Tamandua tetradactyla: one gene and its partners. The protein of the gene in region 4 interacts with the protein of the main gene of each other region in a biochemical or structural test. Links are inferred from orthologs where the notes say so. Each region holds a gene or a part of one and is shown on either strand. Other genes may lie near its edges.

Region 1 (7,635 bases), on a different chromosome or scaffold from region 4:
TGACAGATCCAAAGTTTCATCTGAGAAATGTATAGTGAAATGGAATTTCAATGGGATAAAGGCAGAAAAAGCAGTTATTTTTACAATCACAAGATTCAACCCAGCTGATGAAAACGTTTTCCCTGCTGATTTGCTCACTACCAACCAGAAGGTAACTGGTTGGTTAAAAACCAATCACACATCAAAACCACCACTCATCAAAGTTAAAGCCTTTCTAAGTCAAATCTGCTTGCCTGCTGCCTTTCTCTCATTTTTGACACAAGTAGATTTCTACAAGCTATCTAGACTTTTTATATCTTCCTTTCTCACACCAATCCTTTTCCACAGTTGATTATTTCTACCTCAACTCTGAGAATTACATACTAGTAATAGAAAAAATTTCAGTGTACAAACTTCATGCCATTCAGTTGAAATTAAATTGTGATGAGTTTGAAAATCTTAGGTGGTTTGAGGAACCAAACTGCTGAATAATAAGAAAGGACCTACTCATTCCAATATGTTCTCTTTCTTCGACGACACTGTCCTGAAGAATGAAGCAACACAGAATCTGGAGTAAAAGGATTAATGTTGACTTGAGGAGTCTGCCGCATGTCAAATTCCCTTCTTCCTGATTTTTCTGAATTCATGAATAGAGAACCACCCCGGTGTTTAACAGAGCTGGAATCAATTCCTCGAGCTTTGGAGAGCAAACTCTAGGGAAGGAAATATAAAAAAATTTTTTAGGCTTCAAGTCCTATACAGTCAGGCTTCCCAACCTACCCTTCAACAAGCCTTTCACATGACTGAATGTGGAGGTCAAAGTAACACACAAGTCTTTGTTATATTTATTTTTCAGGCAAAATAAACACTGGCTAACTTAGGTTGAAAAATAACCGCCTTTTCTGAAAGGGATAGGAAAGTAAAGTCGGTTTCCAATCCTACAAAGAAACTGAGTGCTGACTAAAATTAAGTTCATTCCAGTAACTAAAAATTAAACTCTCTCAATGTCTAAAAATAGAAAGCAGTCAGGGAGCCCCATAAAAGCTCCCCTCCCCCATCTAAATAAGGCCTCGAATTCCTCCACTGCTCGACTCCTCCCCTCACTTTCAAGGGGATTTTGCCTTGAGCTAGTCGGCTAATAAACAGTTAAACTCAAAGTACACGTTATTCCTGAGGTTTGTGACTACCCGTATATCAGACACAAAATTGAGTGACTCACTTGAAAAGGTACATTTTCCATATTAATCTTACAAATGCGAAACTTACCCTAATAAGTGTCTTTTTGTTTTAAGAACTGTTTTAAAAACGGTAATCGGCACACACACTGGCCGCTTCACAAACACCTACTTCTTCAAGATAAATTATGATTTGTATAAACGCAAAAGGGCTCAAGCAACAATACTACCGCCGGCTTTTAGGAGTTGGAAGTTACTGATCATCACACGCAGGCCAATCAAACGTGGGCAATAGGAACCCAAGGGTATAAACAAACGCTTTTCCAACATCACGTCGGGAAAGAGAGTGAAATGCTACGTTGCGGTTTTTTAATGAGTCTTTTAACACTTTAAATGCGTCAGCCTCTTCTGCCAAGTCAAGGCACAGTCTCCCTTCATACTTCAAACTCCCCCTCCCAGGACATGAAACGATAAGCGAATGAAGATTTCTTAAAATCGAATTCCTTCTGCGCTCGCCGCCCAAATTACAGGGCAGACCAGTGCGTTTAAAAGGCACCATATGGCCGCGGCGCTCGGGAGTGTCAGGTGGCCAGGCCAGCACGGCGCCAGCACCCGTTCCAAACCACGTTATCGGTGCCACACTCCAGGCTGACACGCTCAAAGGGCGTTAAATCCTCAGCCACCTGGACGGCGCCGATCAGCCCCTTTGAAGGATGAAGAAGTTCCAGACGAGGCTCATTGTTCAGTTACATAATCTTAACGGACAACTTCTGGGCAGGGCCCAAAAGAGGGGCTGCCAACTTCGTGCTGCGGCGCAGGAAAGGGAGCGGGGGTGCGGCCGGGAGGTTATGTAACTGAACCCAGACAGCGCCCAGCTCCGCTCCTGGCGCCGCGGCCTTTTTAAAAGGCTCGGCCTGCGCGGGACCCGGGCGCCCAGGTCGGTCGGCTAGGCCCCACCCGCCCAGTGCTCTCACCTTGGGGGTGTGCGGCGTGTCGAAGAGCCGCAGCTTGCGGAAGGTCTTGTGCGGAGGGGTGCCGGGATAGTCGGGCGCCGGCGAGCAGGGGCCATCGCCTGCCCGGCGCGCCCCGCAGCCCCGCGGGGACGCATCCCCTGGACCGCCGCAGCGCACCGGGGAGAACGAGCTGACTAGGAAGTAGGCGGCCGCCGGCGACTTGACCGGCGACGAGGAGCCAAAGCCCTCCTCTTCCCACGAGTCGCCCTCGGCCCCGCCGCCCGCCGCGTCCGCTCCTGGGGAGGCGCCCTGTAGCAGCATGTCCTCCTCCAGCTCCCCGGGGCTGCCGGGGGCCGGGCCGGGGGAGCGGTGGAGTTCGGGCCCGGCCTCCGTGGGGCTCCGCGCGGGCGGCAGCGGCGAATCAGGCTCCTGAAAGGCTGAGTCCTCCCCGGTGCTGTGGCCGCTGCCCTCCTCCTCTTCTTCCTCCTCCTCCTCTTCACAGTCGCTGCAGGGCGAGAAGATCAGCTTCTGTCGCAAGGTGCAGGAGACCCCGGCGCGGCGGGGCGGTGGCGGCTGCTGCCGACTCAGGAAGCTCATAGCGCTCCTGGGGCCTGGGCCGAGGGCCGGAGAGCCGGGGCCTGCAGAGTCCAGGACACAGCCGGCCTAGGGGGCGGGTCCGCCACGTGCGACTGGGTGCGCCCGGTCGCTGCTGTTGCGAGTCCGCGCTGCTGGGGTCTGCGGCTCCGGGGCGCTCCGGCTGCGGGCGATGGTGTCGGTTGGTGGCGGCGTGGACAGTCCAGCACAAGCGGGACACAGGCACCAAGGCTGGGGTCTCCGCAGGTCCAGCCGCAGGTTCGGGCTCCGCGGCTTCCCGCGACCGTTAACCACGTGAGTTCCCAATCCACCAATCCCCGCCCAGGCCCGGGTTTGAAAAAAAAGGAGGGCGCGACGTAGCCCGTGGGGGTGGGGCCAGCTACGCGATTTTGGCGCGAACCCGCTAGCTCCGCCTCCCACTTGGCTTCAGGCTGGGCTTTGGGCGGGCCGCAGCGCGGCGGCCTATGAGCGAGGCCGGGGTGCCGGGGGCCCGGCGGGCGCCGCCCAGACCAAGCAACAACCGGGAGCGGAAGCGGCCTCCAGAAAGAAGCGAAAGGAGCTTCGTTCGCCAAGCCCGTTCCGGACGCGGGACTAGAAGCGCCTCCTCGCTGCTCCGCCGGGGCCCGGGGGATTGAAGGGACCGGCGACGCGGGAGTGCGTCAGGGTTCTTGCGAACCGGGTCGGTCATCGGCGGCCTTGCAGCTCGGGCGCAGCCCCGGGGGCCGGCCTGCCGCCCTGGTGACGGCTGATGGGCGTTGTGGGCGGGAGTCTAGACGGTCACGCTTCTTGGTCGTGGTCTGAACCCGGAATGGCGTCTTCGGCCTCAGTAACTTTCTGAACTGTGTGAACCGATGCGGTTAGGACGGACACCCAAATTCAGCAAGAACACGCGAGTTCTTGAGGCGGGAACACTGGCTGTGGTGGCCGCTTCTGAGCCTCAGTTTCCCCGGTGTATGTTTGTTAGGGTCGAGCGTGTATGTAGCTAGGTGAACTCCCCCAGCCCGTGGTCCCCTCCGCCACTCACTTATCCACGGTAAATATAAACAGCGCCACGGTCGGCCCCAGCGCAGAGCCAAATGTCTGCCACGTTTGTATGTGTTTATATTTGTTCGCCAGTAGGTGGGCAAGTGTTGGCATTAAAAAAAAAAAAGATTGGCCTAACTCACCGCAAACTTAAACATAACTAGAGAAAAAATTCCCCTAGTTCTCTGTCATATTATGGTTTAATCAGTCCCTCATTGCCACATATAAAAGTTTCTTGCAAATTTTCAGTTGGAAATAACTGGTGAATATTCTTCCTTTTACACGTGGGTTTTCCCCCCTCCGGATTGTTTGTTTTCTAATTATTTTTTTTTTTTACAATAAATTCCCAGAAGTGAAAGTTACTGGTCAAAGAATATAAACTGCCCAACTGCCCTCCAGAAAAAAACAACTTACATTCTCAGGCTGTGAGTTCTGGGTATAAGTGGGTGGGTAGATTTGTTTTGATTTGTTGGACAGTTTACATGGGCTTAGTAGTCATTTACACTTATTTCTATTGTCTCTTTTTCTTATCGTAGCATTTTATGGATATTAACACTTGGCCATGTATGTTATTTTAGCACTTTGCAAAGGTTAAACTCAAGCTTGATTTTTTTTTTTAAGGAAAACAGTGGTCAGTACTTAACACTTACCACATGGGAAAATTCCCTGAGCTCACATAACTGAAGACACAGTGAAAGGCCTGCATCTATCTTCTCCAAACATTTGCTAACTGATGTATAATTGTGTCCTTTTTGTATGTTATTCCAAACTGGATTTTAAGCTCTTGGAGGACAAGAATGCTACACTTTGGTTCATTTCAAGGAAAGCCATGAAGTGGTTTTTAGCACCTTCCCTTTAACCCTTTCCTCCTGTCAGCCTAGATGACAAACACTGTTCTTTGATTTGGGTATCTGATGTTTTCTCAGTTTTATATGAAGTGTAAATAAAAATGATTATAGAAACTTCTATTTTTTAAAATTGATCTGAAACTTGAATGTAAAAATAACGTGCTTCCTTGTAAAATTTGAACTTTAAAGCCCTTTAGACATCTCCCCCAACTGGATTGCTACTCCCAAGCCCCTTCTGTGTGAGAATTCTGGATCCCCTATTGCTAACCCTGCAATCTTAACAAGTCCCACCCCCCCCCCCCCCAGTCACTCTTTCTCATCTTGCTTTATTTCCTTAACAGGCCTATATTTTAAAAGTTATTTGGGTTGTTTATTACTATCCCTTTCTAGAAAACCAAATACCTAAAGATATGGACCTTTTCTATCTTGTTTGTTGCAGTATTCTGATGGTTTTAGGTGCACATTATCTACTGAGTGATGAATAGAGCCTTTACTTAAATATTTGAATCATTTGTTTCTGAATGACATGTTAGCCTGTCATGCTTATTTAAGATTTTGAACAGAAGATTACTCTTCTATTCGATAATAGTTTGTAGAGGTTAGTACACATCACATGACTCATTTTTTTCCTCCGTGGTCTTTTTTAAAATTTCGTTTTCTCTCAAATAATATAAATTCAAATGGCACAGAAGTTCCCTACCTACCCCTTCAATCCCCAGCCAGCCCTCAGCCTAAATCCTTTCCCTGCAGGTAAACACTTTTAAGCAGTTTGTTTTTGTTTTTTTGTTTTGGTCAATTCTTTCCCACCTATTGGCTTCCCTAAACTGAGAGGTCTTTGAGGTTCTGGGTTAAAAGCCCTGGGTTCCGGATTGGAAGAGAAGAGCTCTTGGTCCACAGTTCCAGTACTTTGAATTCTTGGCAGCCAGGTTCTCACACACAATGGGAAAGCTAAGTTCTCAACAAATATGTGGAATGACTAGGGAAAAGAAGGACTAAAAGTTGAAACAAGACTCAGTGCTAGAGCCAGCTCCTCTATGAAACCTGTCCTTGACTCTGTCCACTTCCAGGTAAAATTGATATTCCCTGTTCCAGACTTTCCACCTCACCGGGCATGGACCTTGTAACACTCTTTCTTTGTTTACTTGTCTGGATTCCTTCCCACTCCAGGCCAGACCAAGTTGTATTTGTCTTTAGAGCTCCAGCAATCAGCACTGTACCTTGACCCCTGAGATGGTGCTTAATAAATGTTTCTGTATAACTGAATAAAAAATCTGGTCCCCTAAGATGTTGCTTTAATAAACATGTCTGGATCATTGAATAAAAATCTACTTATCTTTAAAACAAAAGTGCCAAAATGAGTAAGAAATCAGGCCCTGCCTCCTCCAAGCTGAGAAAATGGCACAATGTTATGGTTTAATTGAAGCATTGTTCTAACTGAAACTTTTAAATGACTGTTCTTATTTTTTAATTTCAGGCTCTTCCAGTACAGGACTCACTGTACTGGAGAGATGGGTTACACCCACCTGCCCCCAGGCATCTCTAATTTCAAGTTTCTTTCCCCGCCCACTGCCCACTGTTGTTTTTAATGTAATGTTGCTAGGCAACTTTTGCAGAATCCACTCACTTGTGGTAATGTGATAACTGAGTAAAAATTCTTGCCTGGAGCTCTTGGGAGAACCAACTAAACCTGTTTATTCTCTTTAGACAGATGACTTAGCAAGTAAAAGACTTTACTATCACTATTGTCAGCCTGTTTAACCTACTTAGCAGCAAGAGGAGCAAGATTCCTACTCTGAAGATTTATAAGTAAGATTCCTAAATCATCCTCTCAAATACTTTTTATACAACACATGAATACATGTACATAAAAAGTAAAATATACATGTGTATATATTCATTAACATAAACCTTGTACTTTTGAATGAAAGATCCTTCAAAACTAGGAACTAATTTTTTGTAGTGCTGTAGAGTGTGTAGGAATGTTTCATAAGATTAGCCAAGCTTTACCCAAAGCTGAAATTTTTCTAGTTTACACTTTTGATTCTGGAAAAATAGTCATTTTCTCTAAGCAAAAGCCTACTCTGATGGCTTATTTATTTATTTATTTTTCAATCATGGTCAAATTTCAGTTCTTCTAAAAAAGTATTTGCAAAGTCCCCTTTGGGGAATGGTGAGAATGGGGGAAAATTCAACTTCCCCAAGTAGAATTCTTGATATTCTTACAAGAGGTGTGAACAATCAAAGCTATAGGCTGAGCCCACAGTCTTAGGGGTTGTTCATATGAAACTTAACCCCACGAAGGATAGGTCAAGCCTACTTAAATTAGGCCTAAGAGTTACCCCCAAGAGAACCTCTTTTGTTGCTCAGATGTGGCCTCTCACTCTAGCCAACACAACAGGCAAACTCACTGCCCTCCCCCTGTCTATGTGGGACATAACTCCAAGGGGTGTGGACCTTCCTGGCAACGTGGGACAGAAATCCTAGAATGAGCTGAGACCCAGCATCAAGGGATTGAGAAAACCTTCTGGACCAAAAGGGGGAAGAGTGAAATGAGACAAAGTGCCAATGGCTGAGAGATTCCAAACAGAGTCGAGAGGTTATCCTGGAGGTTATTCTTACATATTAAGTAGATATCACCTTGTTAACTAAGATGTAATGGAGAGGCTGGAGGGAACTGCCTAAAAATGTAGAGCTGTGTTCCAGTAGCCATGTTTCTTGAAGATGATTGTATAATGATATAGTTTTCACAATGTGACTGTATGATTGTGAAAACCTTGTGTCTGATGCTCCTTTTATCTACTTTGTCAATAGATGAGTAGAATATATGGAATAAAAATAAATAATAGGGGAAACAAATGTTAAAATAATTTAGGTTGAAATGCTAGTGATCAATGAAAGGGAGGGGTAAGGGGAGTATGCTATGTATAAATATTTTTTTCTGTTTTCATTTTATTTCTTTTTCTGAATAGATGCAAATGTTCTAAGAAATTATCATGATGATGAATATGCAACTATGTGATGATATTGTGAATTACTGATTATATATGTAGAACAGAATGATCA
Region 2 (7,238 bases), on a different chromosome or scaffold from region 4:
ACAAACCCAGATCTCTTAAAACACAAATGTTTTCAAGGCTATGACGACATAGAGTGAAGGGGTTTGGGTGAGACCTGATCAGAATACCAGAATTACAAGCTAAAATAAAGGAGGGATGGTTCTGTAAATTGTTGACATAAATCACTCCTCAAAAGATACCAGACTGTTTATAGGATCTGGAAATCTGATAGGGACTGCTCAATCCAGGGCTCCAGGCCAGAGAGTGAGAATTTCATTTACAAATTAAAAAAAAAACTTTTTCCTAAGCACAAACATTTAAAAGCAGTGAATACATACTTTTCTTTACTGTCCAAGGGCCCAGGAGAATCCAGACAGAAGCCTGTGGGAAATTAAAAAAAAAAAAGTGCTTGTATTTGCCATCAATCTCTGCAACTCAAGTTACTCTATAAACATTCCTCATTCCTTTGACAGGAGCTTCCATTTACCTGCTGAATCTCACTTTTCCACTTCAAATATTGTCTCTTATGCTTTCAAAGTGTTTAAATCCCAGGAAATCATACATGAAACACTATTTTATCATTAAAATAAATAAATCTGGTTTCTTAATTCAGTCAACAAAAACCCTCAAACTGTACTTTTGCCAGAATTGAAGCCCAGTTTATTTGACTGGAGTTTATCTACTGATTCTCTTCTACTTGCAATTACCATGATGGGAAATAGGAGTTGAGGAGGTGAGTTAAACTAATTCACATCATGACTGCTTAGTATTCAGATAAAGGTGACCCAGGTAAATTTCCCTGAGTTCCAACCATAGAAAAAATAATTGGCAGATTTCTCTGGATATTTTTTTTATTTTGAATATTTTATCTTGTCAGATCGCATGCATAAATTTGGTGTGGAAAATATAAATCATAAGTCATATGACACATAAGGCATGTATTTCAACAGAATGGCACTGAGGAGGATGTCCATCTCCCCAAGGACAGTAGGGCAAAGAAGACCCTACTCATGTTACCATGTGCCAGTCTCAGAATGGCCAAAACCCAACAGTGCCTGCTTAGTGCACACCTCTGTCCCTGCTGACATCTAAGTCTCATAGGAAAACTAGGTGTCAACTCCTGATTGGTATTCTTGCTTGCCCCACTGCCACAAATAATTCTTTCCCCAGTTCTCAAGAACCCTACATTTAAAGACATTTGCTCTTGAGTCCTCTAACCTAAAGCTGTGCCCCAAATGTTCTTGTCTGTGCAGATATAGATAAATCCCAGAGTAACACCAAACGTATTACTGGCACCTTTCCTCCAGAGCAAACTCACTCCATTTCATTTTACTTCCAATAATTTGATACCACATTTGGGGGGGGGGCGGGGATCATGGACAGGCTCTGGGAATCGAACCTGGATCTCTGGCATGGCAGGTGAGAATTCTGACACTGAGCTACAGTTGCACTGCCCAATCCCACATTTTAATCAATGAGATTTTCTAAATGTCACTTAGAGTGGTACAGTGCTCATATTATTCATCTTTGAAGACCCAGCCACACCTATTGCTTGCAAACACTTAAACTTGTTTTCTCTCATTATGAACTGACACAGGGGTTCCTTCAAATTGTTCTTAATACCATTTGCGAAGTCCCTTGGTAAAAGATCATTGTTTCAGCAAACCCCCTGTGTTGCTCACCATCTATCTCCCCACACCCCCAAGCATACACACGATGCTTGCTGAAGGCTGAAAGAATACCTGAATCTGTTGACTCGGAGGAGCCCATTCTCTGCAGACTGCTACTGTTCTTCACCTCCACAGGTTGTTCATACTCACTGCAACCAAGATAAAATCATTCTACATGAACTATTTCTAGGAATTAATTAAAGATTAAATACAAGGGGCAGGCCACAAGATTAGCAAATGCCCAGACTGTCACGAACCACCATTACTTGCATGACACCACATGGATCCTATTTTTCCACGCAGAGCACCAAGTTTGCATTTGAGCATAAAAGGAACGTAGAAAGCTGTGGGTGCATATGGACCACACCGTATGATATGACTACAACAAACGCTGGAATAGTTCCTGAAATGAGAACATGCGTTCTAAGCACTGTACTAGGAGTAGGGATTAAAAAGGAATAGGACAGAGTTCTTGCTTTTCAAAGACTGCGAAGCTAACAAGACGTGTATTTAGACAGAAAGAAGGGTGCCCAAGACTGGAGAAAAAGCAGCTTCACCAGAAACACTGTTGGGCCCTTTTTTTTTGGTCTATAAGGAAAATCCCGGGAGTTTTCAGTGAAGAGGTTGGGTAAAAGCCTGGCCTTGGAAAGCAAAGGAGTGACCATCAAGAATGCGCATGGGACAAGAACTGCGATGATGTTGCACCAACTCCAGGAAAGAAAATGCCAGGTCCCTTTGTTGGGAAGGAACAAAGCTCACAGGAAACTAAGATCCTGCGAGGTTCAGCAAACGGTGGAAGTGGCGCCCAGGAGGGCATGCTTTTGCCCCTTCGGGAAAGGTTCCAAAGAGCTTTCTGAAATAGGGAGGTAAGAGAAGCGGGGTACAGGGTAACCAAAAAGAGGTAGCGAAGGCCGGGGCTTCCCCACCCCTTACCGGGCCTGGCTCAGGGCTCAGGGGATCCCTGGAGGGTCCGAACGGCTTCTCCCGCCCAACATTCCGCCCGTGGGGAGAGTGCACATGGCGGGACCGGAGCTAGGCCCTGCCGCCCCGGAGCGGCGAACCCAGGAGGGCTGATCGCGCCTCTCTTCCAGCTAATCTCCCCGAGGGCCGCCCGACAGGCCCGCAGCCTAGGGTGCTGCTCGCTGGTCCCCTGCTCACCTGCCCAGCCCCTGCAGTTGGTCCATGGTGACCGTCAGGTTGGTGACAGGCGACAGCCCTCCGGCGGCAGGCGTACCGAAGAGCGCCTTCACTACAGGCGGAGGTGCTGGAGGGGAGCTGCAGGCGAAGAGCAGACGGCGACGGTGCGGGGGCTCCGGGCCCAGTTCCATGGCGGCGCCCAGACTCCCCAGGGCTCCCTTTTCCTCCGCCTCCACCGCGCCCGCCTCGCCCCGCCGGCACCGGCCTCCGCCGCGCGACCCGCCGCCGGCACTTGTGGGTCAAACACAAACACGACCCTACGGTTCAGGGAGGCCGCCAGCCGCCGGCAAGCGGCGCGGCCGGGCGGGTGTCTGGACCAGGCAGGTGCCAGCTACAAGCACGGGTGTCCCCAACCTTACTCCGCGAGGCCGGCGGGCGGGCGGGCGCCGGCAATCTTAAGATTAAATTCAAACAAACGCTGCGTGTCGGAAAGGGAGGGCGAGAGAGAGCCGCGAGGCAACGGCCTGGGCTCACACACTACTCTTTTTTCCTCACACCCTTGCCCAACCCGGAGTCACTAAACAAGAAGCAGACCTTCACCTCCTACCGGGACTGCCACAGAGGAGGATGCCTTTCGCAGTAGTAGCTGCTCTCTGGGGTCTGCCGCTGCCCCGCCTCCCTTTCCTAGTTGGCGCCAAACGGTATCCACCAATCAGTAAATAACTTCTCCTTCTTGCTCTCGATTGGCAGCTAGGTTGGACCAATGAAAGGGGAGGAAGGAAGCAGGTCGCGGGGCTTTGCGAGGTCACCCGCTCTCAGAAAGGGGCGGGGCCCAGAGGAGACCGGGGCGGGTTGAAACGAGAGGGGGAGCAAAGGTCAATGAAAACTCCCAACAGGTTCTGCGAGGCGCCGGCCGAGTTGAATGCTGGGAAGTGTAGTTCTTCCTGGCCCCTCCGGCCCAACAGCGTCCTTTCACGGCCCGCGCGGCAGTCCTGTATCTTTTAACCTCGTTAGGCCGCGTCGACCTTGTCCCTGGCCCCCGCCCCGCACCCCACGCCCCGGGGGAATGTAGAGGCTAGAGAAATCAGACCAGAGCTTCTGGAGGTCTGGCCGACTAGGCAAGACCCAGCCTTACTCGACCTCTTTCCTTTCCTCAGGCGCCGCTGTGTCCCAGCTTTATAACAAGGGAGGGAATTGAGTGACTGAACTAAAATTGATAGAGCAACTCTAAAACAGGCCTCATTCCCTCACTTTCTGGTGCTAGGAACCCCCTCAACCACCATGATTTTGCAGATGTCAGCTTCATCTGAAAGGTTTTCGACCACACTGGGCTGCAGGCCTCAGCATTATAAGCCTTCTGTGTTCTCTTAGAGTAATTTTTTTATCCTTAGCCCTTTTTTACCAAATGAGAGCTGGTAAATAGCAATACTAGTAAAAGTAATAATAGCTAGTGCTTATATAGTGCTTATTGTGTACCAGGTACTGTTCCAATGCTTTTCCTCTATTCATTTCGACTTTAAAACAACTCTGTGAGATAGGAATCATTATGCCACTTTATAGGTGACCGTATTTATTTTTATGGCCGCTACACCAGCGGTGGTACCTAGAATGGTTTTAATAAATGTGCATTAATCAAGTGCGGAAGAACTTGTCTTGAGACAGCATTTTTAGAGCACATCTGCTTATTTGGGATTGCATATTTGTGTAGGGGATTTTAATGTCTGGTACAGATGATGCCCATTACCTCTGCTCAAGAACTACAATTAAAGATTTATTTTAAAAAACTTTTCAACTTTTGCAAATAATGCAAAATCATGATTGAATTAGAAAATAAGCATAATTTAAAAAATCATCTGTAATCTTACCACTTCTAAAGAAAGCTGTCAACATTTTCAACTTTTTTTGTGTGTGTACATTCACTGTAAATGTACAACTGGTATTTATTTCGTGGTCAAATACAGGAGTGAAAGGCCCTCCTTGCCTCCTTCCCCTTCTCAGGTAAGCTCTGCCCTGACTGATAGATTCTTCTGTTATCTCCACCCTCTAGGCTCCTTGTTCCATTCCTGAAGAGCACTCCTCACACCTTTACATTTGTTTCTATGATTATTTTATTGGGTTGAGTACTCCCAATTGATTAGAAACTCAGTAGGGGCAGAGACCCTACCTTTCCTTTTCCCTACTGTAGTATCTGCAGCACCTCAGGCCATGCCTGCATCAGGGGACCCCTCAGTACATGCTGATTAAGTGCTACAAAGACAAAGTGTGAGTGCTTTGAGGGTGTCTGAGAGGGAATCTGATCTAGTCTGATGTGTCAGAGAATCCCTGAGGAATTGATCAGAAGGATAAGTCTTCATGGGGGAAAGAACTTTCTGAGCAGAGGAGCAGGCCCTATGTAAAGGCCCTGAGGCTGTAAGGAGCCCCTTGAGTGTGGCTTTGGCAGAGAGCAAGTGGAAGAGAGGAAGTTGGAAAAGTGGGCAAGATTTATAGGCCACATTTTGGAATTTGGACATTGCCCCAAGAGCAATGGGAAAAAGATCAAAAGGTTTGCATTTACATTTTAAAAAGATAACCCTGGGAGTGGAGAATGGATTAAAAAAGGGCAAAGGTAGAGTGTGGAAAGGATTCCCAACAGTCCTTGTAAAATAGAATGGTAACTTGAACTGGGGAGGGGTTAATGCCTTCATGCGGGTGATATGAGAGATGGACCACAATTGTGTCTTGAACCACTAAGCCCAGCAGGGCTCCAGACTCCTTATTCAATCAGGGGTTGCTCCCTGTCATACCATAGCAGCTTGGCCTTTTAATCTGCATTGTATATTGCAATGCCGTGTATAGTTTATTTGAAATAGGTATTCCCAGTGCTAAACAGACAAACAAACAAAAAGCACTTTTTCCATCAATTTATAAGACTTATTTTCTGTAGAGAAATAAACATCCTTTCTCTGATTCAGTATTTTACACATGCCCATTCTTCTTTCACACAACTCTGCTGGTAGCAAGATTGGAATTTTTCTGCATGGTTACGGTTCAGCATGAGCCTCCTTGGAGGCTAGAAGGTTTAAAATCAGCACCAAGAAGTCAAGTCAGAACTAACAGAGCTTTCCAAAGTGAAATGAGCAATCCAGGAGGCTGTATGTCCACTGTCCTAGATGTTGCAGAGTGAGGAGGGATACCTACAGTTAGGTTTTCTCGAATATTGATCCTACATCAGAATCATCTGGGGAACTTTAGCTTTTATGCAATTATTTATTTATTGAGTAAGTAATCCATTTACAATGTACAAATCCAGGTGATACCAAACAAAGGCCTAGGGTAAAATGTCTCCCTCTCCTCCCTGTCCTCAGCCCTGTCTCCTCCCCATAGGTCAGCGCTGCAGTCAATTTTTTTTTATCCCTTAGAGCCTGTGCTTATGCTAACAAGTATAGGTACATATTCTCCACACAGTTTATTTTTACATGCATAATAGCTTATTATAAACTATCCTGAACCTCACTCTTTTTTACTTTGTGTATCTTGGGTATAGTTCAATATCAGCAGGTAGAGTTCTTTTTTTAATGACTACCAATTTGGGGTGTGTGTGTGTGGAGGGCTTTTTCTGAAATATAGATCCTCCGGTGTCTCAGATATTTTGATTTGGCCTGATGTGGGTCCCTGGAATCCATATGTTCAGAAAGCTGTCTGAATTGTTCTGAAACAGATTTGAACAGATTTGAACCACTGACCTACATGAGCTTTAAGGTCATCAAACCCCAGAGAGTTTAAAAAAAAAAAAAAAAAGCAACCCAGAGATTACATGGTTCTAAAACATAATTAGAATTTGCCCTGGGTTATGCTGAATAACGAGCTTTGTCAGATTATATTTGGATCACAGGCTACATCCTATCTCATGTCTAAGTGTTTGCTCTAGGATAGCCCACATTCCTTCATGAGTGCTTCCTAGACATCTCACCTACCCCCAGTACTTCTGTACCTTTCTCCCTCATCCCAGAGAACTCCCAAGTCTTTATACTCAATTGAAGTCTCCCTCCTCAACCCCAGCTCCTTCTCTGAATCCACCCAGAATGACCCACTGGCAACTCAAGCTCTACTTGTTGTAAATCGATTTCTCTTTCCTTCCAAACCCATTATCCTTCACTGTCCCCATGAGAGGATATAGTACCTCCATCTACCCTTCCTCTTCCTCATTGTATCAGCAGACTCCTAAGTCTTCCATTGAGCTCTAAAACCCTAGTGTTCTTTCTAAATGCAAATCTGATCTCCTCCTCCACCCTCTGTTTCAAGGACTCTCCGTTGCTTAAAGCAGGGTCTTTGGAGCCATAGCCAGAGCACACAAGCAACTCACATCTCAAAAGATTCTCAACAAATAAATTACTCATGCTACATGTAATATACTATTTCCTGTTTTATTGTTTCACTTTAAAAAAAAAACACGAGCCACTAAAATTAATGTTATGACCCACTAGTGAGTCATG
Region 3 (7,563 bases), on a different chromosome or scaffold from region 4:
GTAGCAAAATCAAGTTCAGGGATTTTCTCAGTGTTCTAAACCATCTCCTACTTTGTCTTTTGTACACAAATGACCCCTAGAGGAAAAATTCCAAGCAGCAAAGAAATTCAGAAGGTCAATAAGATTAAGTGGACAAAAAGAGAGCAAAATCAAAAAATATTTTCATATGTGCAGAATAGACACAAGAAACTACCTTACCCAACACACATTCATAACCCCAAAACTAAGAATCACAAGGATTAGAATTATTAAAAAAAAAAAAAAAGCAGAATGAATTTTTAAAAATTGTGAAATACATGTCTCACAAGTCTCCACAACAGAACTTCTAGTTAAAACAAACTAGAGTCAACTATTTCATGGGGAAAAAGATCAATTAGTAGTCTACTGGTATATAAAAGTACTGTTATATGGAAAACTTAAAGAATGACAGTTCCATAGCCTTCACAAATTATTATGCAAAATACAGAAGCATTTAAGTTAAAAATAAATTATACTAAATGTTAAAGGACTAACATTTGATAAGGGAAGAGAATAATGGCAGGGAAAGCTCTGTGCCAACTTTTTAATTGCAGCTGTAGTGCAATAGCAGGGCAAGTTTTGTTTTGAGTCAAAAGTAGTGAACTACTAAACAATGGTTTTAAACCTATCACCTGTGTTAACTCCTCTTTATTATAAAGGGCTAATGGGATAAAAGGGCAATCAATGAGGAAAATAATAGAAGAAAATACAATTAATTGAACAAACTTCTCAAACACTAAAACATGACAACTTCAAGAATTTTTTTAAAGAATTTTTTTTTCACATATCAGAATTAAAGGTAAAGAAAACCTGAAAGATTAGGAAATCTAACACATACAATGAAATTGAGATTAAATCTTTTTTTTAAGCAGCACTAAAAGTGTTTAATTTAAATCAATGACTGTTCTAAGGAATCTTTCTTCCATACAATCTATTCTGAACTGCCAGGTTTCTCCATACTCCTTCCCTAGTAATTTAGGCAAAATTTATCTAATCTACTATAATTTATAGCCTATTATTTTCTTTCACACTTTTTTAAACAAACAGCATTAGAGCAATTATTCTAACTAGCACCTATTTATTTGACTGTCAACTGTCCCAAACTATGATACTTTTTAAGAAATTAATCTTTATTCTGCTAAAGTTAGTCAGTAGATTTTGCTAAATAATTTTGCTAGAAAAATTGTCAAATAAATTCCATTTTGTGTAAATAATTTTCCAGTATCCATAAACAAAAATTTATATTTATATTTAATAACAGTAGTAAAATGAGGCCTCAACATGGACACAGGACTACCCTTCTTCAATCTATCACAAACAACTTGTATATTTACTTAGTGATTTTGAATATCTGTATGTGAAAAGAATGCTGCACGCTAACCACAAAGCACAGTTGGTAAGGATACCTCTCTTACACAGTACTCTAAAAATCTGCTCTTACTAGGTTGTTGAATCATCACCACAGGCATGAATATTAGACATTATGGCATCAATCCTTCAAAGGGTCTACAAAAGTGGACAGAATTTCAAGCCTGAAACTGAGGCTTCTACCTTTAGAAGGGTAGAAAACAAGAGTTAAGTAATTGGGTAGTCCTAAAAATACACATCATAACTACATGACTAAGATACTCATTTAAAACCTGTGCCAAGATAGTCCCTCCCTTCAAAACAAACTAAAACTGACTCACTGATCTATTTTACTTAATTTTGGAAATAAAAAAACTAAATTAAATGAATTCCTAAGCACTCATTTCCTGTCAATTAAAACATTCAAATCTTCAATTTGTGATTGTCTCGCCAAAAACTCTAAAATAAAATAAAAATTTAGTATCTTCAAGATACCTATATTAAGAGTAAAAACAAAAACACTAGATTCAGGAATGATCATAACCACTGTTCTAAATCATAGAGAACAGACAACTTCTTTGTTGGCTGTATAAGGAGCCAACCCACCCTGTGAAACCACCTCACCTCCAAAGATAATTTTCTACTGTGAGATCACCCCATTTGCTAGAGTTAACTACCTGAGTAAAAGGTTTCAATTTTGTCTCCACTCCTGTACATATAGAAAAAAATGCCAGTAAAGTTGGTGGCAGGGGGAGGACAAAGGGCATTTCGAAACACTACTGAAGTAAATAGAGAACCAGGTCAGAAAAAGGTCTAGATAAAGTTCCCTCAACTGGATAATGGCAAGAAAACGTAGGCACCCTTTTTTTCCCCACCACCCCCAGGGTCCTATTCTTCATTACCGCCCACTGGAATGCAAACTTGGAACTACCAATAGCCAAGAATCCCAACAAATCCTCAAAATGTCAGGTCACTAGACAGCCTCTGGGATGACAGGCTAATGTCCCCACCCCCACCCGCACCCCAAAAAAAGAAAAACCCAATAAGTGCAGGTCACCCTGCCCTCTGGGGCAGTTCCAGCCTACGCAGGGATGATTCTGATGGGAGAAGGAGATAGAAAAGACAAACTACCTTTCTTTCCATACACCCTCAGCTGGGGAAACAAAGACAGCCCTCCTTCTCCGTTCTCTACTACCCTAGCCAAAAAGAGACTTTTTCTATTTCCCAGCGCAGTCTGGCCTCCCCTCCCGCCCCCGCCCCCATGACAAAGAAAAGGCACTTCGTGAGCAAGGCCTTCCTGCCTCCACGGATGGGGGGAGGGGGCTGCCGAGGTGAGGAGCCCCCTCCACTCACACGCGCTCCCACTTCTAGCCCCGAAAACAGATGAAACCGAACGAGGAGCAGAAGACTCGGCCGGGGAAAGCCAGGTCCGGGAAGGGGGAAAGGTACCTTGAAGTAGCCGCCTTCGTAGAGGGTGTTGGGGGGTCCGAAGATGGCCACCTCCCAGTTGTAGAGGTCGGACTCATCCACCAGGGTGATCCGGAAGCCCTCCACCGGTTCCTCCTGCAGGGATTTCAGCTCGAGCATCAGGGCCTTCTGCGAGCTGGTCATCTGCTGCTGGGCCATCGCGGCGGTGGCACCGGCCCGGGCCCCAGTCCTCACGCACCCGCCGGGCCGGAGCAGGCCCCTCCCCTCCGCTTGCCCTCGGGCCGGGCCGCGCCGGGCCCCTGTCTTCACACACCCGGCGGGCCGGACCAGGCCCCAGACGGCCCGCGGGCCGGTCCGGAGTCCTCCTCACACGCGACGCGGGCCGGGCCGGGCCCTTCTCCTCACACTTGGACGGGCGGGGGGGAGGGGTCGAGGGAGTTAGGGGGAATTCGCTCCGGGTCTGGGGCCTCCCCCCCCCGAGGGGGCCTCAGCTGGGGGGGGGGGGGGTCGAGGAGGTGGAGGCGGAGGAAGGCGGTGGAGGGCTGGCGACGGTGAGGGGAGGGTGCTGGCCCGGGAACGCGGCGCTCGCTCGCCCTCTCGTTCTCCAGGGGGTCTGCCGGGGCCCAGGTGGGAGGGGGAGGGCGGCACGCGAGGGTCTCGCGGTGGCGGCGGCTGCGCGGGGGGAGGGGCGACGGAGGAGGAGAGAAGCAAGAGCGCCTCGCGCCGCGGGAGCGACAGAGCCCAGAAGAAGCAGGGAGGGAGGAGGGGCGCGCGCCCGGAGAGGGTGGCTCGCAGCGGCTGGCGGCCCGACGCGCGTGCGCGCGCCCCTCCCTCCCCCGCCCTCCCTGCCCTCCTCGCCCTCCTCCTCCCAGATCCCCGCCTCCTCCACAGCCCCGCGCCGTGGCGGCGCTTTGTGACGTTGGCCGCGGGTGGGGGCCTAGGGTGGCCGCAAGGGACAACGTTGGCCATAAAATCAAGGTAGTGAAGCTCAACGCCGGGGTTCCACAGGCGCTCCCGCAAAGGGACCTCAGATCCAAGAGCTATCAGCGCCCTCCTACTAGGTACCGACGAGAACGTTCGGCCTCCGCACACATTCCCTGACGAGTCCAGGGACCCCGCAGGCCCTCCCCGAGGCCCTCAGTATGCGGGCCCTACACCCAGTAGGTGATTGAGAAGGATGTGCTTTGAATGTGGGTATTGTGATGACATCAACTTCACCACGTCTCCCCGGCACGAACTTTCGGTCCTCATGCCGGAGGGTCCTTGGGCAAGTCACTTACCTGGGGGAGGGAGAGTTTCCGACCCGAGAAATTGAGGAAGACAGATAGCTCCTACTTCCCTTCTTAACTACAAAGAGGAAGTTGAAGGGGGGTTAAAAAGAGAGAGAAAAATAGTGCTAGAGGCTGAACCTCGGTTCCTGATCATTTTCTGTGTACTTTGGGGCAAGTATTCTCACTGCCCCTCAGTTTGCCCATTTGTAAAATACCATGTTCTGACTTTGACCCCTTTCAGCTTCAAAATCCAACCTGGAAGTGACGGGCTTTTAAGATAATCATGATTGAGGTGAGATGTGAGGACAGTCTTCAGTGCCCTTGATTTTTGTATACCCCTTTCTTTAGAAAGGCACTTTCTATTAAATTTGCCTAGATGTTTCCTAGAAAAGCCGGGATACTGTGAGGGCTCCACACACTCAGAATTTTACTATCTGAAGTCTTGGTTCCAGCCCTGGCTCCATCATTTACATTACCTCTGTATCATCAGCGTCTCTAAAGGAGGTTAATTATACCTAACAAGCAATTGTGATGATCAAAAGAGATTTATGTACAGCGTTTAGCATAATGACTGACGTCGTAAATGATCCATAAATAGGACCTTGAAAGAAAGAAAAAAATTAAGCGTCACAGTTGTATTCTGAACACCACTTCCTTTGTTTTGTTTTAAAAATAGACTTTTTAAAGTTTTAGATTTACCAATGAGAAATAGTACAGAGAATTCCCATAAACGTCATCCAGTTTCCCCCATTATTAATATCTTACACTAATATGGTACATTTATTACAATTAATGAACATCATTATTAACTAAAATCCATACATTATTCAGCTTTCCTTAGTTTTTACCTAATGTCCTTTTTCTGTTCCAGATCCTATCTAGGACACCACATCACATTTAATTATCGTGTCTCTTTAGGCGCCTTCCTTTGGGCTGTTGCAATTTCTCAGACTTTCCTTGTTTTTTATGACCTTGACAGTTTTCAGGAATATTGGTGAGGTATTTTGTAGACTGGCCCTCAATTGGGATTTGTGTGACATTTTTCTCCTAATTAGACTACAGTTATGTATCTCTGGGATGAAGATCACAATGATAAAGTGCCATTTTCATCACATCATATCATATCAAAGGTACATACTATCAATATGATTTGTCACAGCATTCACCTTGATCATCTGACTGGTATTTGTCAAGCTTCTCCTTTGAGAAAAAAAAAAGTCTACTTTTTTCTCCTTTCTATACGATACCCTTTGGAAGGAAGTCACTATGTGCAGCCCAACATTTAAAGGATCCCATTCATTTTTTTGTTCATTTTTCTCAAAGATGGGGGTCTCAGTATTTTAATTAAAGGATAATTCTCTAGACCCCAACCACTCCCCTAGGTCTTGGCACCAAACACAACCGAACTTAGAGCTCCCCTCAGAAAAGGCAGAAAACTCGAGTCAATGTAGCTCCTTCTCACAAAAATGATATTGTATGACTGGTTCTGGCTTCCCCTCCCCCTCACTTTGGGTACAAGAAGTTTGCTGACCCGGAAATGTGGGAGGTAATGTTGACACCTTTAATAACAAGGCTCTGAACAGACAAATAGGCAGAAACTTCATCTTCAAAGCATTTCACCCACATAAATTCGTCACAGCTCCACCCTAATCCAAAGGATGGTGAATCCCTAGCCTAACCCACTTGAATATATATTTGGCATCCAGACCTAAAACTGCTCCTTTAGCTCACATCAACTGGCAGACTCATATTAAACATCCATTTGGGCATCACCCAAAGTTGGGTAGCTGACAAACTCATTTGTCTGGGAGACTCACAGCCTAGTTGATTAGTGAACTGTGTACTCGAGACTTTCCATCCTTAGGTCAGAAGAACTGGAATTCCACAGAACCAGTTTCATGTCATTTTATTGTAGCACATAAGACATTGTTCATTAGTAGACTGCAACTGTGTCTTATTCATCTATATATCCTCAGCAACCAACACACTGTCAAACACAATTAGACACTAAAGTAATTGTTCTCATGGACTCACAGCCAAAGGCAGGAAGACAATCAGTAACAAAAAAAGTAACAAATTGAACTCCCACTCCCATGCCTAATATGATCTCTTGGGCACATAAAAGGTGCTCAAGGTTAGAAATTCCATAAGGATAACAGGTCTTATTCATAACCATATGCGAGCTACTACACTGCTTGGCATATAGTAGGGGCTCAAAACATTTATCAAAAGGATGAATGGCAGAAACAGCCTCTTAGAGCTTTCTCATCTCGTAATGCCATAGATTTAAGACATAAATAGATTGACTTCACTGGCTGGTGCCCTCTGGTGGTAACTGATGTTTTAGTTAGATGCCTAGGCCCAGTCTGTTGCATCACCTGCTACTCTCTAAGCAGGGTGCTCCTGAACAATCTATTTCCTTTCTTCCAGATAGAAAAAATATGGAAATCTTGGCAAGATAAATGGAGGGAGGGTATTGGTATTTGCTTTAGAAATGTTGATTTTGGCTTTACAGAATGATTCTAAGAAGCCAATTTTTTTTCATTCATTCAACATGACACCAACTGTGTAAGATTTGGGCACTGCTCTTAAGGGGCCACACATTTCTTCTAATGATTATAACTGGCATTTGCTGAGCATCACTATGGCACAGACATTTTACATGCATTGTCCCTTTAAATCCTCATTAAACCAATGACATGGCTGTTACTAGAATCTCTATTTTACCAATGAGTAAACCAAAGCTTAAAGAGGTAAGGAAAGTTGCCCAATGTCACACAACTAGTAAACATAGAACCTGCAGTTGAACCTCAGCCATCCTTCTTCAGGGTGACTGCTCTGAATCACCATGCTCTATTTTTCCTAATGTACTGCAGCATGCTGTTCCTATCATAACAACCCACATACACCACACTATACTGCAATTATTTGTTTACTTTTTTCTCCCAGCCTTTCTGTGCTCTTGGAAAAGACCCATTCATTCATTCCTTCTTTAAACACATATTTATTGAGTGTTTGTGACGGTCCTGTGCTAAGTTCCCAAAATAATAATAGTATGAGACAGAAGTGATTGAACCATGCACTATTTGAACGTACATTCTAGTGGCTGATGCAAAAACTGACAAAAACAATTAGGTAATACACAAATAATGTTGCAAGTTTTGGTGAGTACTTTTAAAGGTGGTTAAAGGGGGGGCCTAAGGGGTGTAATGCCATTTTAGATGGTGTTCTAGTTTGCTAGTTGCTGGAATGCAATATACCAGAAACAGAATGGCTTTTAAAAAGGGGAATTTAATAAGTTGCTAGTTTACAGTTTCAAGTCTGAGAAAATGTCCCAATTAAAACAAGTCTATAGAAATGTCCAATCTAAGGCATCTAGGGAAAGATACCTTGGTTCAAGAAGGCCAATGAAGTTCAGGGTTTCTCTCTCAAGTGAGAAGGCACATGGTGAACACAGTCAGGGTTCCTCTCTCATCTGGAAGGGCACATGGCGAACACA
Region 4 (7,549 bases):
TTTTAGACCCTAATATTCTGCTTAAAGCTTTTTTTTTTTAGGGGGTGGTGCATGGTCCGGGACTTGAACCCGGGTCTCCCACATGAAAGGTGGGCATTCTAACCACTAAGCTACCCATGCACCCCTGCTTAAAGTATTTTTCACAAGTAGATAAGGATAAGCTTTAAGTCTAGATCATATGTGACTTAAACAGCCCACTATGGATTAGTAGTCTCATAATAAGATTTTATTGTAAAATTCCTAAACAAAGCACTACATTAATGTGGTCATGACTAAAATTCGTCAAAGAGAGTATTCATTTCCTATTGACATTTTAAACAAATTTTACATCTTTCTAAACTAGAGAAATCAAGGCATTTGTACAAAAGTTATGATCAGTAATTCACAATTGAGGGAAAGGATAGCAGCCAGAACAAAGTCAAATACTACACAAAAATTCCAATTTGATTAAAAGGCTAACCTTTCCATATGTACTGTATACTAATTGCTTGGGGCAAGCGCAAATAAATTATCTTCCTATCTCAAAATTCATTCTGAATAAACAAGCATGTTATAGCAGGGTGGATGGGACCAAATGGACTTACTCAGATTCATAATTAGAGCGTTACTGAGCTGAAAGAGAAGACCGTATCTCTGGTTCTCCGAGGTCTGCTTCAGTTATTAAGGTGTCATTTTTGGTTACCCTCTTCAAGTTGGCCTTTTCTCAAACAACAGCCACAGTGACAAGTAAGATAAAAAATGAAAGTCAAATTAAAGAAAAACTGATTTCTCCCTATGGAAACTGACTCAACATTTAATAATGTATGGTACCCCAAAAGCTGTGAACTACGACATGGCCATTTCCAGGTCCAATATAATTCAATCACGAGCCCATTATGGAAACATGTCTCACTGGTACAAAACAGAAATCAAGCAGTTGAGAATGTTCATAGGCTGAGGTCTAATGGGAAGTTAAGAAAATGATCTCATAATGTCTCTTTATGATCTATAAATCACATTATTCCATAAATGTGACACAGTGTCAGGATGAAGATTAAGAGTCAACCCTCTAAGCAGGGAAACAAAAGTAAGCATCTGCCACTTTTCTAACTGAAAATAAATCTAGAAGCTGGGTAACGAAATCAAGCAATTTCCTCTACTAAAGTCCAAAAAAATTTCAAGTTTCTCTTCAACATTGGGCAGAAATTCAAGAACCTTCTTCAAGCTTAATGTATTCTTGTTTTTGATAGTCAAACTTTAATCAGGTGTTTCTGAAAGACCTAACACAAAGACTTTGTAAACTGGACCAGTCTCTTGAACAACATTTTTGTAAATGGGGCAGTTTAAAGCCTAAATTCAATCCAGGTTAGTGATACATGTTTATTTAGATTTGAAGTTGTTATACTATTTCCAGCAAGGGTACAAAATAGAAACTATCTAACAAAGGAATAAGGTTTGGAGTGCAGGTTACAATTACTTTTGAAAAAGTAAGACTTGACTGCAAATGACACCCATGTCCCTAAAGCCACCTGCTAAACTAGAAATCTATGTATCCCCTCACTCTAGCTGAAACCATCAAGTCTGGCTTTACACTTAGGATATACAAGAAGTATCAGATTAAAAGCATCAAATATCAGACTACACAAATTTCCCAAACATAAGCATAGAAAAAGAAAAGCATGATACAAAGTTAAAGAAATCGGCTCTAAAGCAAGAGTTTCCAGCACACCCACAAAATCCAATCCATGCAAACATTGTGCTTCAACCTAAAACTGATGGGTAACCAACCCCCCATCCTGATTTACCTCCCATTCTCTACTACCTACAACCCCACTTTCATTTTCTGAATTTCTCCACTCTTCTCATTGCTTCTTAGGAGTCTTTGCAATTCTAATCTACATGCCCTTTCCTTTCCCAGAACATCGTACAGGTCCCCACCCCTACAGTTCACTACCTCCACAATTTAGCTCTAAGTTTTGTTTTACCTTATTAGATCTTAATTTTCCCCCAATCTCCTATACCCATATTTCCCTGACAAATCAGCCTCTTGCTTTTCATCACCTTATTCCTAATATATATAATATTATATATACAGCCTTTCCTTTCTGAGTATATACCCCTTTTCCTGTCATTTGTAATTTGGCCCACAGTCAACACCACCCTCCTTTCCCAAGGGCTGTTATCATCGCCCTAGGTCACCATCTCCATCCTTATCTTCCTAAATAAGGCCTCCTCCTTTCCAGAGTTTGTCAACACTAGTTTGGCTTAAGATAAGATTTAGCCTCAGGGCAAATGCTATCTCCCACTTCATTCTACAATTCTACACGCCTCCCAACAGCCCTGGTTTCCCTCCTCCACCCTTAGATCCATCTTCATCTAGGTCTGCCCATTTTCCACCTACCCTCAATATCTGTCCTCCCACCCACCCGCGCTCCGCTTCCCCACGCTGGAATGTACCTTCTTTCCTGGGCCTTATCCGTGACCCTGACACCGGGAAGGCCCTGCCAGCGGCCACGCAGAGTCTATCCTCCGAGCTTTCTCCGCTCTTCAGTAACTGTCCCCACGCCCCTTTCCCTCCAGGGCCCCGCGCGCGGCCCGGAGCCCCCTCCCCGATTAAGCTCCCCGCTGTCACTCGGCCTCTCATCCACAAGATGGCGGAGCTGCTGCCCCCACCCCCGGGTCTGCTCCGCAACCCCCTCCCGCCTCCCCGGAGCTCCGGTCCCGGCCCTCCAGCCGCTTCGGCTGCCGGCCTAGGCTCGGAGTGCCCGGGTCCCTTCCCCCGGACGGCGGGCGGCCCAGGCCCGACTCCTAGCGACGCCACCAACGCCACCGCTTCCACTGTTCCCCGGCCGGCCCCTCCTCCTCACCATAAACTTGAGCGCTTTCTCCTGCAGCACCGCCTCGGCCGGGTCCATAATCTCCCGGGGCCGCTGGGTCTGCTCTCAACCGGGGCCGCCCCCTTAGTGCCAGGCCTCAGCCAACGCAGCGCCCGGATCCCGCCTCCTCTTCCTTCCCCCGCCCTCTCTTACCTCTTAGGCACCGGCGTGGGGGGGGTCAGGGACCCCCCCCGCTTGTGCTGTGCGCATGCGTAAACCCTGTGGCTCAAGGGATTTGTAGTTCTGGAGCTTCCCGCTGCAGTAAGTGAGGCAACCAAGAGTCCCGACTCCCGCTGTTCATTGCCGCAGGTTTGCCTTTGTCGATAAGCAAAGTTTAGACAACTCGTGGTCAACTAGGGAAAAACGGCTGATGGGAATTGTAGTTCACAGCCTCTAGGATAGAAAACGGGAGGATGCACAGATTATCTCCGTGGTTAACGTGCGACGCCGGTGGCGGCTTGCTTAGCATTTGCCATCAAGATGGTGGCCAGAAAGAGCCTCACCAGTAACCCACATACTGGGAAAAAATGTTACAAGACTCGGGGGTGCTAGGACCTCTCTAACTTTCAATGTGGAGAGCTGGTCAAACCCAAATTTCATATATCTCACTTCTGCAGGAGGGATTGAGACCCAGAATTGCTGGCTCTATGGGCACCTGGCAGCACCTCCAACCCACTACTAAATTTAAAAGTCTACCCAAACTGTCACTCCACACCTCTCCGAGGAACCTAGTCTCTCTCACAACAAGACAGGGCCAGGCAGAACTCAAATGAGAAAATTCTCTGGTGTTTAGAGCTCAGGTAAGTCAAATTTAAGCCCCATTGAAACCACAAAGAAAATATCTAAGAAGTATGCACAGAAGGAAATGAGAAGGGATTCTAAATGGGTCACTACAAAAGATCAACTAAATACAAAAGTAGGCAACTAATGGAAAAATTGAAGGACAAAAGAGGTATAAGACTTACAAAAGCCAAATAGCAAAATAGCTCAAGTCCTACATTTTCAATATTACTTGTAAATGAATTAAACTCTCCACTTAAAAAAAAAAAAGAAAAAAACTTTTGTAGTGGTTTGGAGCTGTATGTACTCCAGAAAAATATGTTCTTTAAGTTAATCCATTCCTGTGATGTGAACCCATTGTAAACAGCCTTTTGATGAGGCTTCTTCAGTTAAGGTGTGACACACCTCATTCAGGATTGGTCTTAAGCTTATTAGAATCCCTTATAAACACAAGCAAGACAAAGCGAAAACCACAGAAGCAAGAACCTGAAAACAGGGAAAGAGAGAAGACAGCAATAAGCAGACACCGCCATGTGCCTTGCCAAGTGGCAGAGGAGCCAAGGATTGCTAGCAGTCAATCTTGGAGAAGAAAGTATCTCCTTGATGAAACCTTGATTTGGACATTTTCCCAGCCTCAACTGTGAGCAAATAAATTCCTATTTTTTTTTTAACTCAACCCATGGTATTTGCCTTGAGCAGCCTAGAAAACTAAAACACCTCTGAAGTTGAACAGTCACTTTTTTTTACTTTATTATCTGTACGAGAGTATGAAAACATTGCCTGATGAAGCTGGCGGTCAGTGACAATCCTCACTTTGTCCAAGCAGGTACAGATGAGGATTAGTAAAGCAAATTCAAAGAGTTTTTGTTTAAAAGCCCAACCAGCTGGGAATCTAAGCAGAAAGTCAGTTGGCAGAGGCAGTCCACAGAAAAAGTAAATCCTCCTTCTTTAAAATGAACCAGTCATGGTCAGGCAAACAGAAATCCAAATATGAACTGTCTTAATTTTTAAGGAAAACTCAGGTTTTAGGAAAGATCATTGGACTGGAAGTTGAGAGACTTGATTCTAGCCCCCACTTTCATCAGTTAATTGGTAGACTTTGGGTAATTAACCAAACCACTTTGGCCCTCTCTTTTGTCATCTAGAAAACAAAGTTCTCTGCCAACTGAAAACAGTATGCATCTATGAGCTTGCTTTTGGCACAGTTGCTCACAGAAAATACTGAATCATTAGAACCTTTTTAAAGCTCCACTTTACTGGAAAACTGGACTTCTAACATGAAAAATCGCTTCTCCTAGATTCCTTGCTCCCATTCTCCTAGCTTAAGAGCTGAGAGTACTATTTGACCCACCCTTGTCCTTTAGCTTCCGTATTCAACCAGTTATAGATATCAGATATCTCTTTCAGTTCTACCCCTTTTTCCTCCCCCATAGGCAATGTTTCCTTTTTGTTTGTTTATATGGTTCTTGCAAAATAGATGCTTTGTATGCTATATTTTTAATTCACAGATGTAATTTTGTTTTATATGTATCTCATTGTTTCATACATTTTGCACCCTGTACCTATGGTTTTCAAAAACTCTTTCCTGGCGGAGCACGGACTTCCATGTCCTGACCAGCCACCACCAGGAAAGATCTGTTCACTACGACAGCCAGAACTAAAGCATTAGACCTGATGACCCCATTGTGATTTTAATGAAAGTCTAGCTTGGTAAACAACATGGTCTTCCTATTCCCTGAGACACAACAATATTGAAATTAGACCAAATAATAACCCTACAATGTGCTCTAAGAGTTAAGGTAAAAGGAAGAGTCAATTGATGTAGCAAACTTCATTGTTGTCCTATTTTAAGAAATTGGCACAGCCACACCAATCTTCAACCACCACCAACCTGATCAGTCAGAAGCCATTAATTGAGGCAAGACTCTCTACCAGCAAAAGGATTATAATTCACTAAAGGTTCAGATCGTGGTTAGCATTTTTCCTGGGTTTTTTTGTTTGTTTGTTTTTTATTTTGTTTTGTTTTTGTTATGCTGTGTGGCAGGCATCACCTTTCATTCTTTTTCCATATGGGTATCCAGTTATTGCAGCATCATTTGTTGGGTATTTGTTTCTTTCTTTCTTTGCTTGTTTGTTTGCTTTTCGGGAAGTGCATGGGCTGGGAATTAAACCCTGGTCCCCCGCATGGCAGGCGAGAATTCTACCACTGAACTACCCTTGCACCCCCTGCCCCCAAGTTTAGCATTTTTAACAATAAATGTGTTTGTTCGTTTGTTTTTACAGTTTTTTTTTAATTAAGGTATAAACATTGATATTTTAGACAAAATGCTACCACACACTTATAGACTACAGTACAGTTTATAAACATAACTTTTATATACACTAGAATACCAAAAATTCATGTGACTTGCTTTATTGCAATATTCGCTTTATTGCAGTGGTCTACAAACCAAACTGGCAATATCTTCAAGGCATGCTTGTGCAGGTAGAATGCTTCTTCTCTTCTTAAGATATTGATCATCTTCCCATGAATCTTTAGGGGCAGAAAAATTCTGGAAATAAAAAAACACTGAGCTTTTTATAATGATGTCATCCAAACCGCCTCTAATTGTAACTACGGACACCATATGTTCCATATGTTCAGTTAGACATGATAAAAACCAATCTTAAATTTAAATCTTAAGTAATATAATAAAGCCTTTCCCCAGTAAAAAGAAAAAAACCTTTCGTGTTTCCATGTGTACATCTAACTTGTTGCTTCTAACTGCTAATATTCTGATGATGACATCTCCCAAGTTTTACCTATCCACTCTCCAGCAAAGCCTCCAGAATCCAGTTGCCCCAAATAGCACTGTAGTGACCCACTGCCTACATGTCCCATGAGTAAGAGTATCTTTGGGAATTTATACCCACAACCATAATTACTGGTTTGTAGCCTAAGGATACCTAATTTGACTATGTGGTGCCAAATCACAGTACAGAAAGGCCATAACATTCTCCAATTCCATGAGCAGTGTGGGAGGATGTCACTTCTCTGTCACCATTGGAATTATCTAACTTTTTTTGTTGCCAGTCTGCAAATTATCGCTTCTCTAGGTAACCCTCAACTCATAATGATCTTGCCTTTCTTTAAGCACTTGAATCTGCTCTTCTAAACCTCACCCCCCAGTATGCGTTTGGTGATTAACAAATAGGCCAAAGCCAGAAATATTCCACACATGCCTGTGCTTTTTCCTCTTCCCTTAGCATCCCCTCTCCTAAATCTGGTAGGATTCTCAACCCTAACTGCACAGTAGAGTCACTTGAGGAGCTTTATAAACAATGTTGATGCCCAAACTCTACCCACAGTCACACACCTCTGCTACCACTCAGCTATTCTGATTGAATAAGATCTGTGGGTGGTCCTGGGTGATGGTTGTTTTAAAAGACCCGCAGGTGGTTCTAATCTGCAGTCAAGTTTGAGACCACTGCCTTGGCGTTTAGGTGTCCAGTGCCTTCTTGCTGACCTCTGCTATCTAGAGTCCCCTTCCAAGCCTAACTTGCTTTCCAAATTCTAGGAAATTCTAGAATTACCTTTCCCTCCCCTCTCTAAAAAACTACATTTTCTAAGGATTGCCAAGGGCTGCCCAAGATTGACTGGAAGCAAAGTCATTATCTAATTTTAAAACAAACAGTAAAAAACACCATCAACTATTTGAATATCTGATAGACTTAATCCTAGGGTCAAGAGGTCCAGAGGAAGTGGGAAAGGTTATTTACATTTCAGTCAGATAGAGAGATACACTTTTAGCTGGGCCCTAAAGAAAGAGTGCCACACACATACACACACACATACACACACACATACTTCTCTTCATTTCCCTGTCCTCATTAAGACTCACTCCTCTAATGTCAATAATGCAGGGTGTTGAAAA

Evidence for each region.
Region 1: of the proteins of BTRC (region 4) and WEE1, one has a biochemical effect on the other in vitro, tested with the Homo sapiens proteins (2 studies listed by BioGRID, with this or other methods). The link is inferred for Tamandua tetradactyla from reciprocal best matches to the Homo sapiens genes BTRC and WEE1.
Region 2: of the proteins of BTRC (region 4) and CDC25A, one has a biochemical effect on the other in vitro, tested with the Homo sapiens proteins (3 studies listed by BioGRID and IntAct, with this or other methods). The link is inferred for Tamandua tetradactyla from reciprocal best matches to the Homo sapiens genes BTRC and CDC25A.
Region 3: the proteins of BTRC (region 4) and UBE2R2 form a complex in vitro, tested with the Homo sapiens proteins (2 studies listed by BioGRID). The link is inferred for Tamandua tetradactyla from reciprocal best matches to the Homo sapiens genes BTRC and UBE2R2.

The regions. Positions count from the first base shown.
Region 1 is NC_135334.1:84,082,891-84,090,525, reverse strand, and holds the start of WEE1 (wee1-like protein kinase), read right to left. Parts: upstream 3,002-7,635; 5' UTR 2,705-3,001; coding exon 2,129-2,704; intron 1,968-2,128; exon of another isoform or gene 1,838-1,967; intron 1,811-1,837; exon of another isoform or gene 1,246-1,810; intron 693-1,245; coding exon 487-692; intron 1-486. UniProt on the Homo sapiens protein: Acts as a negative regulator of entry into mitosis (G2 to M transition) by protecting the nucleus from cytoplasmically activated cyclin B1-complexed CDK1 before the onset of mitosis by mediating phosphorylation of CDK1 on 'Tyr-15'.
Region 2 is NC_135341.1:38,163,592-38,170,829, reverse strand, and holds the start of CDC25A (M-phase inducer phosphatase 1), read right to left. Parts: upstream 3,012-7,238; 5' UTR 2,958-3,011; coding exon 2,788-2,957; intron 1,779-2,787; coding exon 1,702-1,778; intron 341-1,701; coding exon 298-340; intron 1-297. UniProt on the Homo sapiens protein: Tyrosine protein phosphatase which functions as a dosage-dependent inducer of mitotic progression. Directly dephosphorylates CDK1 and stimulates its kinase activity. Also dephosphorylates CDK2 in complex with cyclin-E, in vitro.
Region 3 is NC_135328.1:62,250,054-62,257,616, forward strand, and holds the start of UBE2R2 (ubiquitin-conjugating enzyme E2 R2), read right to left. Parts: upstream 3,010-7,563; 5' UTR 2,992-3,009; coding exon 2,815-2,991; intron 1-2,814. UniProt on the Homo sapiens protein: E2 ubiquitin-conjugating enzyme that accepts ubiquitin from an E1 ubiquitin-activating protein, and catalyzes its covalent attachment to other proteins by an E3 ubiquitin-protein ligase complex.
Region 4 is NC_135339.1:62,880,795-62,888,343, reverse strand, and holds the start of BTRC (F-box/WD repeat-containing protein 1A), read right to left. Parts: upstream 3,002-7,549; 5' UTR 2,895-3,001; coding exon 2,847-2,894; intron 2,568-2,846; exon of another isoform or gene 2,437-2,567; intron 1,753-2,436; exon of another isoform or gene 595-1,752; coding exon of another isoform or gene 585-594; intron 1-584. UniProt on the Homo sapiens protein: Substrate recognition component of a SCF (SKP1-CUL1-F-box protein) E3 ubiquitin-protein ligase complex which mediates the ubiquitination and subsequent proteasomal degradation of target proteins. Recognizes and binds to phosphorylated target proteins.